Linked DNA regions of Stegostoma tigrinum. The protein of the gene in region 1 interacts with the protein of each later gene in a biochemical or structural test. Links are inferred from orthologs where the notes say so. Each region holds a gene or a part of one and is shown on either strand. Other genes may lie near its edges.

Region 1 (7,161 bases):
CTTAAACTACAAGATGTGTCCACTGTCCTCTCAGTGCAAATCATTGTCTTCTTATGTCACTGACTACTTCCAGGGCTGCTTTTCGGTGGTTAGATGCTTTAGGAATTAATCCAGCTTTTTTTGAAATGTTGGTAAGTTTTTACTTGATTTCTCAGTTGGTGGACATACAACCTGATTTCAGTTAAAGCAGTTTTTGACATTAATTTTAAGTTGAAACTCAAACTTGAGAGAAATGAGCTATTTTAGTTCATCGGATTTCTCTGTCTTTATTGTGATGATGACAGACAACACTGCGTAATTCATATGCTCATTATTTGTCTTCACTGTCATGACAAACCAATGCTTTTATGATGCCAATACAAATGGTTATGATTATAGAGCATCCAACTAAAAGTTCAGGTAACAAGCACATCATTTATTGATCTGTAAATTCAATAATCATTGGGAGTTAATTGGGAGTTAATTTAATTTATTTTTAGCAACTCAAAACCTGAACTGATATGTGCTCATAATTCCCTTCATTTGTATATTACAAGAGTTATGGGGGAAATGATTAATTGTACAAAGGATTGTCCTTTATCAGTTCAGGAATTTTTAATTCAGTGTTATTGCAATTCCCTATTAATTAAGGTTGCAGAGTAATTAGAGAAAATGGCAAAGTCCAAACTTTACAGCTGTAATGACAGTGAAATGGTCAGTGTTCACCATTTTTACTCTTGTGAAACTTACAGTGATTTCTGAAATCCACATAGGCACAGTTACATGAGGAAATCCAAATATATTGTCATCAGTGATTCTGCAATTCTTCACAGGGCAAGCTGTTGAAGTCCCCACAGACAGAACTCAAGGAGAAATAATTGACCAATCAAAAAAAGTCCTTAAATACTAATAATCTTGGTGTAAACCTCACGAAAAGGTTAAATTTTCATGTATGCTGTAAAACCTTTTTTCAAAGATGTAATAGGTTAACCCCACTCCTAAACACAACTTTTCTCCCCATTGAAAGCTAATTTTCTAATGGTGAAATGTCAACATCATGATTTTTAAGAGTTTGTGAAATTTCAGCTTCTGGCTTGATCCCACAAACCCAGCCAATTATTTAATTCTGTATACAATGTATGTAAAGTGAATTATAATCAGTGTTTTTTGTTTCCTAGTTAGCTGTCTAAAAGAATACTTCAATCTGATGAGTTGCTCACTTTGTTTAATAATAACATTTTTGCTGAGAGCTGGTGATACTGGTGTTTGAATCAGGAAAGGGGAAATTCATGCCACAGAGATTATTAGATCCTTGTGGCTAATTATTTTCAAGGTCAGTGGTGAGTGTCATTGATATGTACTGCCACAAAATTTAAATTCAAATGCCAGAACTGTAATTTTCTCCCCATTACCATTCCCTTCATATCCTGCTCTTTACTCTTCTCATCTCCTTCATTTCTTATAAAGATGCCAAAACTGATGGGTGGCATGATGGCTTTCACAGTGCCAGGGACCCAGGTTCAATTCTCAACCTTGGGTGACTGTCTGTATGGAGTTTGCATGTTCTCCCTGCATCTCTATGGGTTTCCTCCTATAGTCCAAAGATGGGTGGATTGGCTACGGTAAATTGTCTGTAGTACCCAGGCATATTCAATTTTGGTGGATTAACCATGATAAATGATTTGGGTTATAGGGATAGGACAGGACTCTGGGTCTGGATGGGATGCTCCTCAGAGGATCAGTGTGGAATTGATGGATCAAATGGCCTCTTTTTGCACTGCAGGGATTCTATGAAATGTTGATAATCTTTGAATGTAATTTCAGAAAATTATGTGTATTCATTTTTATTTTGACAGAAATCCAATTTATTTTAACATGTTTGCTTTGATTACAGAGGAGGAATGATTCAGACAAGTGAACAGTATGGATTTGTACACCATGCGCTAAGCCTTTATGAGAGCACAATCTCAGCAGACACTAGACAGTAAATCTATCATCATTCATGAAAACCTTTGATTCTAAGTTACATGGACACGAGGTAAATTATCTCTTGAAGTAATGAAACATATTACTTAGAGAGACAAGAACAAGAATCGTTTCCAGTAGACAGGTGATACATGGTAAACGCAGAAGCTAGTCACAACACAACAGGAAAAAAAGTGTTTGCTGGATTGATTAAAGATAGCTGAATGAATGTCGTGTATATTTTCCTAAATTCTGTTATAGGAAAATGCAGCTAACTGACTTTATGTGAAATATTATCTCTGTCTAATTAAAGCCTTTTTTATGTTAAGTTCAGCTAAACAATACTTGCAAACCCAATGGTCTAAGAAAAGCAGTGCCTGTTGAACTTGCTTTGAGAGATAAAGAGTTTGGATAGAAGTACAACACTGAACCCTTTATCAATTGTTTCTGTGTTTTGAACTCTTGCACACAACTCTTGATGTGAGTTATTAATATATACATGTGAAAATGCTATTTCATAAGTGGTGAATTTTATTTCTTTACCACATTATTGTCTTGCTGCTGAAATGCACAAGTGTTTTATTCATGAATTTTAAATAACTGTTTAATTCTGGAATATTTTAAAACTGTAAATGTTTTGTATGCAATGTAGATGCAGGTTTTTATTTGTGATATGGTGTTAAATTGTATGCATATTTGTAATCCTAATTAGCAATCAAGATGCATAATGTTAAACAATCAGTATATGTATTCTTATGTCTTTGACAATGTATTTGTATGGGGGTTGTCTAAATGTACGCGCTTCTTAGATATTAAGCAAATCCCTGTGGTTAACACTTACAGGATCTTTCTCGCTCTTTCTCTCTCTCTGTCTCATGTTGTGAAGTAGTATCAATATTTTGTTCCTTCTGGCAGACAAGAAGTGCAATGTGGAACTGTATGGAATGTATAATGAGAATGGAAGCCTAAAAATATGAAACATTGACTTAGCTTTATTCTATATGCAGCTACGTGGTATGTGTTCCATTTGAGGAGACATATTTCAAATTCCTTTTTTGTCATGTGCAGGAAATTGTTTACATTAATGAGTTGTTTACAGAAAGCAGTGCAGAATCTGCACAGGATAATTTGTGTTTTTGTTCATCCCTGTTAAATTTTGTGTATGATGACAATAAATGCAATGATTTTTTGAAATCTTGTTCTTGAATATATATTTTAATAAGAAACCAAATATCTGGAGCAAGAGTGAGTTACAATGATGTGTTCTTACTCCCATTATTAATTTCAATTAATGCATACATCTAACTAAACTATGTCAGTGCTAAGCAACAGGAATTAGGGTGGTTGAGGCGGGAATCCCCAAGACCTTTCAGAAATATTTAGATTAACATCACAGTCCCAAGACCACAAACCAGGTGCTGGATGATGGGATTAGAGTAGATGAATGTTTGATGACTAGCATTGACATATGGGCCAAATGGTCTTTTTCCATGCTGTAAAAACTCTGACTGAACTAGAGTCAATCCCCCAACCCAATTTATTGCAAACTCTTTAAATATACCATAGAATGTAATTCGTTTTCTGTCAATGAGTGTTCTAGTATGAAAATGCTATTTAATAAAATACTGTTGACTCTTACGAGCGCAGTTCTATTTCCATTTTAAGAAAGTGGTTCATTGGGTCCTACTTTTAATAATACCTGTCACTACACAAATCGTCACAAAAATTGCCATTTGATTTAAATGCCTGTCTTTGAAGAGCTGAGGATCTAACTTGTAACTAATGTCAACAGGTCTTCCACAACAACTTGTTTACAAAACATTCCAACTGTGCAATTTGAAAGTACTGACTTCAACATGCGAAAGGAGCGTGGGTTTATCCAGCAATTGTACAGATGGAGTAGTTTGTTGATTTCTGTGCTAACAGACATATATGATGAGAGAGAACAGATTGCACAAAAATATCACAATTGCGACATGGCCGAAATTGGGATAGAAGTAATCAATTTTGACAGTCTCATCACAATTAACCAAATCCGAGATGGCCTCGCCATGTGTGACCATGAGGGTTAGGATGATTTCCGAGAAATCACACAATATGACACTCTGACATGAAAGATTCAAAAGAGATTGAATAGGAGGAAGTGGTCGTCACCAACTTTTTTTTTCCCCTGAAGACACATTTCCTTTCGACGCTTAGCTTCAGCGATCTGTGCTGAGGGTAGCATGTAACCTAGTTACAAGAATATCGTAAAAATGGATAGTCCTCTCTTCGTGGTTTTTACGTTTACGCTACTGGCTTTATCTGGTAAGTGGATTAAACTCAGCAGTGCTCAATAGCTGTATAGGAATCTGTGTTCCTTATTCCACGTTAATCCTTGCCAGCAGTCCAAATCCAACCGCAGTTTCTTTTAAAAAAGGAACGAACGGAAATGAGTTTTTTTTTATATTGTACACAACTGTACGCTGTAGCAGACCCGGCATGTCTAACACATTGTGAGATAGTTTGCAGTTTGTTGGCCCCAGTTTGCAACAAAGTTGTTCGATTTGGTGGAATAAATTGAAACATAATACCGATGTCTTCCGGTTCCGATCTGGATTGGTTCTGACCGGTAGCCTCGGGGCACTGCGGCCACTTGTCTAATCATTGAGTACAGTTAGAGGCTACAGCCGCTTCAGTGGTTTGGGGGCGGGGGAGGGGGTGAAGAGAGTGGAACAGAGACAATCACCTAGCCGAAAGAATAGCCCCCTCTCCCTCCCCCCATCCCCCAAACAATCACGGGATACACATCTGGTTGGTTTGGTGCTCATCCCGATGTCTTTGAGCTTAATGTGAAGTTGAATGATGTGCAATTGTTTCCAACCATTCCAAGTTAAATATAGGGGTGGGGGCATGTGTTTTCTGTCAATTCGGGATCGAAGCTTAACGGAATGGTCTCGATAGAGGCCAGAGTGATGGAACTGCTGTCGAGACGTATTCCTTGTATTGGTCTGTCTGTGCAGCTGGTGCAGTGAAGACACTGAATTGTTTTTGAAGTAGTGCCCAGATACAGACTAACAAATTAATGTCCAAATACTGTTTGCAAAGAATTAGCGTTCAAATGCAGATTGTAACAATGTTCAAATACAGATTGTAACAACGTAGTGTCTAGCTCCAGATTGCAACAGTCATGTCCAAATACAAATTGAATTGCAGCTGTTTATGGGAGGGAAGATATCTTCCTTGATGACTGATTTCTGACACTGTAACCATGTGTTTTAACTGGTTTATGTAAATGCATGTTGGTCCTTCTCCCCACAGATGGATTCCTGATCCTCCACGCTGCCAAGGAACGGTGCCTGCTGGGCAAAAACCTGACGGTGTTGGTTGGCGCATGCAAACTGACCAGCCCGTCGCAACAGTGGCAGTGGACGGAGCAGAGGAAGCTGCGCCTCCAGCAGGTAGACCCGAAGGTAGACCGGTGCCTGGCTACGGTCAACACGACTCGGCGGCAGTTCCGCAACCTGGCGCTGCGAGAGTGTGCCCAGGCGCCTCGCTGGCAGTGCGAGGAGGAGCTGCCGGGCAGCCTCGGGGTCGCCCATCCGAGAATGTTCCTCAAGAAGTGGGGCTACTTGCCGGTGGTGACGGCCGAGACGAAGTACCATGACAGATGGCTCAAGTACGAGCTCGGGGAGAGTGGGGAGCCCGTTAAACTCAGCTTGTGCTCAACACAAGGTGAGATGTTCCATAGAACTGGCCAGTAACCGTGTGAAGTTGCCACATTCCTCAAATCTGCCGGGTTATCTAATCAGGAAATGGAGCCACTGGCCCATTTTATGCAGCAACAATCTGACGTCTCAATACAATGCAACATCTCTAAAGTGTGAGCCTATCAACTAAACAAAACAAGTTAAATCTCCCCGGAAATAATTACTCACAAGGTTAGAATTTACCAATAAATAGAACCGAAGTCGCAGATAAACTAATTTGGAGAGGGGGAGCAATCATATTGTTTGCTGGGACCTGAATATCCCATTGACCTTAATATATGGAGTTCCTTATAGCTTTCTGAGGAATCCCCTTGGAAAAGCCACTAGGATGTTTTAAAAATTCTATCTCAAGGCTAAAAGCACTTCTTATAAGAAACATAGGAAGATTAGGCCGAGATTCCAATCTCAATAGTGTTATCTCATCCTTCAGCTGCCCCACAACAGCGTGTAGTAGTGGTTAGAGACCACAAGGGTACACAGATTGAAGAGCTCACAGTCAAAAGAGCTAACGAGGTGTAGAGCTGAATGAACACAGCAAGCCAAGCAGCATCAGAGGAGCAGGAAGGCTGACGTTTCGGAAGGGTCCAGGTCCGAAACGTCAGCTTTCCTGCTCCTCTGATGCTGCTTGACCTGCTGTGTTCATTCAGCTCTACACCTTGTTATCTCAGATTCTCCAGCATCTGCAGTTCCTACTATCACAGCCAAAATGCTGATCCCGCTTTCCAGAAAGCGCAGAAAGTGCACTTTGAAACTCCCGGAGAGCTGGGACATTAAAGGATGGGAGGTGGTTTCCTTTTCGGAATGATCTGGAAACCAGAACTCTCTTGCAGAGGAAGGATATGACTCTGAGACAGGCCTTGACTCGTTTGATAGTGTACTTCAACTTTAGAAACGAGCGGAATGTTGATTTGTCTGCGAACAGTCTTTTTCCATGCAGAACAAACAAATGTCATATCACATATATAGTCCATTATCCCTACTGCTGGGTGTGAAACGCAATTTACCCAGGGCCGTAACTGAAAGAACGAATACTACCCACGTTTCTTTTGATGTTTAAAGATGTTTTTGCACACCTCAAAAGCAGGTGGGTCCTGAATTTGGGTTTACGCAGGCCAGAGGTTCCGTTACTGTCACTGCGCCATAAGACCTCAGTTCTTCAAGTTTATTCGCTGTCATTTTGTGACGAGGGTAGGGGGCACGCAGTCAATACCCTTCCCCTATTCGCATTGATGAGCCCCGAATTCCTTTCATTGATGTAACACCTGACCGGGAAACAGGGAAGTCTGTCTGCGCTTCCTCAGCGGGTGAACTGCTAGGGAAAGTGAAATAGATTGCATTTCAAAAGGTGGCGCGTTTCTGCAGAGATATTTCTGATTTTGAAAAAAGAAAAAGTGAGGAGGGAGGAACAGAATCCCTAGGACCTGGATAGAACTGGGTCACCTGCCTGGGCCCAGTTCCGGCTTGACAA
Region 2 (7,276 bases), about 37 Mb from region 1:
GACATGTCATCAAGAGAATGGGAGGGGGAGTGGAAATGGTTTGCGACTGGGAGGTGCAGTTGTTTGTTGCGAACTGAGCGGAGGTGTTCTGCAAAGCAGTCCCCAAGCCTCCGCTTGGTTTCCCCAATGTAGAGAAAGCCGCACCGGGTACAGTGGATGCAGTATACCACATTGGCAGATGTGCAGGTGAACCTCTGCTTAATGTGGAATGTCATCTTGGGGCCTGGGATGGGGGTGAGGGAGGAGGTGTGGGGACAAGTGTAGCATTTCCTGCGGTTGCAGGGGAAGGTGCCGGGTGTGGTGGGGTTGGAGGGCAGTGTGGAGCGAACAAGGGAGTCACGGAGAGAGTGGTCTCTCCGGAAAGCAGACAGGGGTGGGGATGGAAAAATGTCTTGGGTGGTGGGGTCGGATTGTAAATGGCGGAAGTGTTGGAGGATAATGCGTTGTATCCGGAGGTTGGTAGGGTGGTGTGTGAGAACGAGGGGGATCCTCTTGGGGCGGTTGTGGCGGGGGCGGGGTGTGAGGGATGTGTCGCGGGAAATGCGGGAGACGCGGTCAAGGGCGTTCTCAATCACCGTGGGGGGGAAGTTGCGGTCCTTAAAGAACTTGGACATCTGGGATGTGCGGGAGTGGAATGTCTTATCGTGGGAGCAGATGCGGCGGAGGCGGAGGAATTGGGAATAGGGGATGGAATTTTTGCAGGAGGGTGGGTGGGAGGAGGTGTATTCTAGGTAGCTGTGGGAGTCGGTGGGCTTGAAATGGACATCAGTTACAAGCTGGTTGCCTGAGATGGAGACTGAGAGGTCCAGGAAGGTGAGGGATGTGCTGGAGATGGCCCAGGTGAACTGAAGGTTGGGGTGGAAGGTGTTGGTGAAGTGGATGAACTGTTCGAGCTCCTCTGGGGAGCAAGAGGCGGCGCCGATACAGTCATCAATGTACCAGAGGAAGAGGTGGGGTTTGGGGCCTGTGTAGGTGCGGAAGATGGACTGTTCCACGTAACCTACAAAGAGGCAGGCATAGCTGGGGCCCATGCGGGTGCCCATGGCCACCCCCTTAGTCTGTAGGAAGTGGGAGGAGTCAAAAGAGAAGTTGTTGAGTGTGAGGACGAGTTCCGCTAGGCGGATGAGAGTGTCGGTGGAGGGGGCCTGGTCGGGCCTGCGGGACAGGAAGAAGCGGAGGGCCTTGAGGCCATCTCCATGCGGAATGCAGGTGTACAGGGACTGGACGTCCATGGTGAATATGAGGTGTTGGGGGCCAGGGAATTGGAAGTCCTGGAGGAGGTGGAGGGCGTGGGTGGTGTCACGGACATAGGTGGGGAGTTCCTGGACCAAAGGGGAGAAAATGGAGTCCAGATAGGTGGAGATGAGTTCGGTGGGGCAGGAGCAGGCTGAGACGATGGGTCGACCAGGGCAGGCAGGTTTGTGGATTTTGGGAAGGAGAGAGAAACGGGCCGTGTGGGGTTGGGGAACAATGAGGTTGGAGGCTGTGGGTGGGAGGTCCCCTGAGGTGATGAGGTCATGAATGGTGTTGGAGATGATGGTTTGGTGCTCGGGTGTGGGGTCATGAGATGGCCTCAAGGCCCTCCGCTTCTTCCTGTCCCGCAGGCCCGACCAGGCCCCCTCCACCGACACTCTCATCCGCCTAGCGGAACTCGTCCTCACACTCAACAACTTCTCTTTTGACTCCTCCCACTTCCTACAGACTAAGGGGGTGGCCATGGGCACCCGCATGGGCCCCAGCTATGCCTGCCTCTTTGTAGGTTACGTGGAACAGTCCATCTTCCGCACCTACACAGGCCCCAAACCCCACCTCTTCCTCCGGTACATTGATGACTGTATCGGCGCCGCCTCTTGCTCCCCAGAGGAGCTCGAACAGTTCATCCACTTCACCAACACCTTCCACCCCAACCTTCAGTTCACCTGGGCCATCTCCAGCACATCCCTCACCTTCCTGGACCTCTCAGTCTCCATCTCAGGCAACCAGCTTGTAACTGATGTCCATTTCAAGCCCACCGACTCCCACAGCTACCTAGAATACACCTCCTCCCACCCACCCTCCTGCAAAAATTCCATCCCCTATTCCCAATTCCTCCGCCTCCGCCGCATCTGCTCCCACGATAAGACATTCCACTCCCGCACATCCCAGATGTCCAAGTTCTTTAAGGACCGCAACTTCCCCCCCCACGGTGATTGAGAACGCCCTTGACCACGTCTCCCGCATTTCCCGCGACACATCCCTCACACCCCGCCCCCGCCACAACCGCCCCAAGAGGATCCCCCTCGTTCTCACACACCACCCTACCAACCTCCGGATACAACGCATTATCCTCCGACACTTCCGCCATTTACAATCCGACCCCACCACCCAAGACATTTTTCCATCCCCACCCCTGTCTGCTTTCCGGAGAGACCACTCTCTCCGTGACTCCCTTGTTCGCTCCACACTGCCCTCCAACCCCACCACACCCGGCACCTTCCCCTGCAACCGCAGGAAATGCTACACTTGTCCCCACACCTCCTCCCTCCCCCCATCCCAGGCCCCAAGATGACATTCCACATTAAGCAGAGGTTCACCTGCACATCTGCCAATGTGGTATACTGCATCCACTGTACCCGGTGCGGCTTTCTCTACATTGGGGAAACCAAGCGGAGGCTTGGGGACCGCTTTGCTGAACACCTCCGCTCAGTTCGCAACAAACAACTGCACCTCCCAGTCGCAAACCATTTCCACTCCCCCTCCCATTCTCTTGATGACATGTCCATCATGGGCCTCCTGCAGTGCCACAATGATGCCACCCGAAGGTTGCAGGAACAGCAACTCATATTCCGCCTGGGAACCCTGCAGCCATATGGTATCAATGTGGACTTCACCAGTTTCAAAATCTCCCCTTCCCCCACTGCATCCCTAAACCAGCCCAGTTCATCCCCTCCCCCCACTGCACCACACAACCAGCCCAGCTCTTCCCCCCCACCCAATGCATCCCAAAACCAGTCCAACCTGTCTCTGCCTCCCTAACCGGTTCTTCCTCTCACCCATCCCTTCCTCCCACCCCAAGCCGCACCCCCAGCTACCTACTAACCTCATCCCACCTCCTTGACCTGTCCGTCTTCCCTGGACTGACCTATCCCCTCCCTACCTCCCCACCTACACCCTCTCCTATCTTCTTTACTCTCCATCTTCGGTCCGCCTCCCCCTCTCTCCCTATTTATTCCAGTTCCCTCCCCCCATCCCCCTCTCTGATGAAGGGTCTAGGCCGGAAACGTCAGCTTTTGTGCTCCTGAGATGCTGCTTGGCCTGCTGTGTTCATCCAGCCTCACATTTTATTATCTTGGCTGTAAGAACTCTCTGGGATTTGTCGGTTAAAACTCAGGCCTGTGCTATTTCCAGATGAGTGGAAGGGTAGGGGGTTTGCTGCCCATTTCTGGTGTTGCTCAGAGCAACATGTCGTCGCTGCATGGTTGCCCGCGTTGGGATAGAGATGACTGCATGCTTTAATACGAGCTTTTGTTCGCCACGTCCTGTGCTTTTTTAAAAATCCACATCTCCCAATGTGTTGAGTCAGCGATGCCACTTCGATCTGACTGCCCCCTTCCAGCGGCTCAACAGTTCCCACTCCCACGTGTTGGTACCTGTGCAGAGTAACAGAGCTAAGGCAGGTTTGTTAGGATCTCCAGTCCTCCTGTGACAGCCGCTCCTAAACTGGGCAGGCTTCCCTTGCTAAGGTCAATCACTTTTTTGTTAATGTTTCTCCTGAGATGGATTGCTTTGGAGTGCTGCCCCTCCCACTCTGTGCATCAAGGGGAGGAGGATGGACTCCTCCTAGGGGTCTGCCTGCAAGTTCTCTGCAATGTCATTGACGCAATCCGGGCGCAGGCGAAAAGGGTGCGATGCAATTTTAATATTCAGGGTATTACGGCGTTGCCTACACCTTTGCAGCCCCCGCTTCTCCAGGCTGCGTGTCAGTTTCCTCGCTGCAATTGGTAGCCAAGATGCTGCTGCAAGGGTGTTGGAGATCTGTGTCTGTGCGTGTGTACATTTCTGTAAACTCTACCTGCCTATCTCTGCAGTGCCCATCCTGTTACACTCCTAGCTTCCAATGCAGCGACCGTCCCGTTTGACGCAGCGACTGCAGCAGCCTGGGCGGGAGCCGCTCCGCCCACCCACCCCAATCCTCCGGTCCGATAGGCTACCTCGCCTTTGATTGGCGTCGAGACTAGCCAATTGGAACGGCGGATTCCACAGCAACCGGCTGTCAATCAGGATGGCCGGGGCGATCTGTCAAACGCTACTCAGGTCCCAGTGACTGAGAGAGAGCCGACTGGCTTCAGGTGAGTATCAGCTCTATCTGCTCGCATCTATAAAGCAAGCCCAGGACGCTGTAGAAAACCCTCGCCTGGTGAGTGCAGCAGCAAAAATGCAAACCGTTTATGATTATTTTCAGGGATTGAGCCGAGTCTACAGAAAGTAGTGTGTTATCCGCACACCAGCAGTGTCCCGTTCAACTCCCACGCTTTTAAATGTCAGCCTAATCTCCAAATGCAGCTCTTTCTGCTGCTTGTTGTTTGGAGTAGTTTTCACGTGTAGGTCTGAGAGGTGGGTCAAAGCAGCCCTGTCTTCAGGGGGTCATTCCTCTCATCCACTTTTTTCCAAACCCCCGGGCCTGGGAAACTCTCACAGGTAACACCCTCGCATGGGTTTAATTTTTTTCAGTCGTGTTTTGGTCTTACTGCGACAGTAGATGGTCATTGTGCCCTCGCAGTTTTATAAGCTGGAAGACGAAGCAAATATTTATTACGAGAGGGTGGGAAACATAATCTGCAGCTTTTTTCTAAAAGAAAGAGGTGTGCAAAATGTGCCTTAAAGTCTTGTCTTGCAAACATTCAGTACAATTCAGTGCTTTACGTTGTGTGTCTGTTTGTATGTGCTCCTCACTCGGGAGTGTGTCACTCTTCGTAACATGCTGAGTTCATGATCAGTCCTGACGAGCAGAAAGGGAGAGTGAAGTGTACGCATTTGGGTGTTGCCAGTATGTAGACTGTTCATGTTGTGTATTCGCAAAAATTATCCTTGCTATCCGCTACCATTTACCTATTTAGGAACAGCTAAGTAATAATTTTACTTTTAATTTTGCAGCAGAGCATTTATAAGATAGGTTTTTTTACTGGAGTCTGCATTTGTGATTGGTTTCTGAGAATTTGGGCATGGGAGGAAAGATATTTTAATCTGCATCCTCTAGCTGGCATTATGTCATCCTTTAACGAGTATTTTCGTACAAAGGGATGTCAGAAGCAATACCATTGCAGAGAGTTCACATTGCTGTGTTGAAGGGATGCTAGAGATGATGACTACTGGTATCACTGATTACCTGGGAGTAAATTTGAGCCCTCTCCCTCTTTTCTGACCCCAAACACCTCCTTTTCTTTCACCCTGCCACTCTCTGGGGAATACTTGTACTGCTCCTCCTCTATTATTCATTATTGGGAATGTGTCTAAACTTTGCCAGTGAGATTCCTAATGAGTGGTTTCAAATAAGCATCATCTGGCCATTTGGGCGTGTGGTGATGGCAAGGTGATTAGCACATCTCCTTGCAACTGATCTGTTGCTGACATGGAAACACAGGATATACTGCATTCCTAGTCATTACCAGGAATCTCCCTAATAGAGTAGTGTTTTTTTTTTCAGTTTAACACTGGTGCCCTTCTGTTGTCCTCTAATTTGCCATGAGCTGAATTTAGAAGAACATAATGCATTGGGGAGATTTTCCTGAATTTCCACATTGAATTGCCATGGGTGCAGTGAATACAGACAAATTGGTGGCTCTAAAACATCACTAATACAATCCACTGTGTGACAGTCCTGTAGAGATAGGTTCCAGAAGGTAATGTAAGAATGTTGGTTGCTTGAATGAGACTAATTGAGTACATGTGTTTATGAAATGTTCTATCCTGGGAAAGCCAAGGCAGATCCAAGTGGAAAAAAAAGTTTTTGAATTAACATCAGACTCCACACCCCCAATCCACCCCACTTTTAAACACTAACAAATGGTTATATGACTGGGTACTTGTTAGAAATTTTACCAGGATTTAGTGAAACGTACGTGGGTTTTGAGAGAAGTGGAAACAAATGCTGGGTTGATGTTCAGTGTGCCCATTGGACTGTGGACCAGCCTTGCCCATTGTGAAATTTTGGTGGGGTTCTTTAGCCTTGCTTGCAGTCAAGCTTCTAAAAAAAGTAGTCCAAAGATGAAATCCATGCGGAAGGCAGTGTGAAACCACTTCATGTACTCTTCTGTAGTAGGTCACTCAGAAATTTTGCAAGTGAGAATTATTGCTCTGTGGGGCGGAATAAACTGTTGGGTGAAATTCCATTTCTTTGTACTTGTAATCAACCTTAAAACCTAGATGTAGGAAACCTGATTAAACTACCATTCCACATATATTTGATATTTAATTACTGGTGCTTGGAGCTAGGTAAACACATTGTATTACAACCAGAATCCCAGAAGGGGAACGAAATGTGAGGCTGGACGAACACAGCAGGCCCAGTAGCATGTCAGGAGCAGAAAAACTGACGTTTCGGGCCTAGATCCTTCATCAGAGAGGGGGATGGGGTGAGGGTTCTGGAATAAATAGCGAGAGAGGGGGAGGCGGACCGAAGATGGAGAGAAAAGAAGATAGGTGGAGAGGAGAGTATAGGTGGGGAGGTGGGGAGGAGATAGGTCAGTCTAGGGAAGACGGACAGACGCACCTTCCCCTGTAACCGCAGGAAATGCTACACTTGCCCCCACACCTCCTCCCTCACCCCTATCCCAGGCCCCAAGATGACTTTCCACATTAAGCAGAGGTTCACCTGCACATCTACCAATGTGGTATACTGCATCCACTGTACCCGGTGTGGCTCCCTCTACATTGGGGAAACCAAGTGGAGGCTTGGGGACTGCTTTGCAGAACACCTCCGCTCAGTTCGCAATAAACAACTGCACCTCCCAGTCGCAAACCATTTCCACTCCCCCTCCCATTCTTTAGATGACATGTCCATCATGGGCCTCCTGCAGTGCCACAATGATGCCACCCGAAGGTTGCAGGAACAGCAACTCATATTCCGCTTGGGAACCCTGCAGCCCAATAGTATCAATGTGGACTTCACCAGCTTCAAAATCTCCCCTTCCCCCACCGCAGCCCAAAACCAGCCCAGTTCGTCCCCTCCCCCCACTGCACCACACAACCAGCCCAGCTCTTCCCCTCCACCCACTGCATCCCAAAACCAGTCCAACCT

Evidence for each region.
Region 2: the proteins of ptprb (region 1) and cntn1b form a complex in vitro, tested with the Homo sapiens proteins (2 studies listed by BioGRID). The link is inferred for Stegostoma tigrinum from reciprocal best matches to the Homo sapiens genes PTPRB and CNTN1.

What each region holds. Positions count from the first base shown.
Region 1 is NC_081371.1:44,953,375-44,960,535, forward strand, and holds the start of ptprb (receptor-type tyrosine-protein phosphatase beta), read left to right. Parts: upstream 1-4,145; 5' UTR 4,146-4,199; coding exon 4,200-4,251; intron 4,252-5,244; coding exon 5,245-5,658; intron 5,659-7,161. UniProt on the Homo sapiens protein: Plays an important role in blood vessel remodeling and angiogenesis. Not necessary for the initial formation of blood vessels, but is essential for their maintenance and remodeling. Can induce dephosphorylation of TEK/TIE2, CDH5/VE-cadherin and KDR/VEGFR-2.
Region 2 is NC_081371.1:8,302,415-8,309,690, forward strand, and holds the start of cntn1b (contactin 1b), read left to right. Parts: upstream 1-4,265; 5' UTR 4,266-4,328; exon of another isoform or gene 4,329-4,396; intron 4,397-7,276. UniProt on the Homo sapiens protein: Contactins mediate cell surface interactions during nervous system development.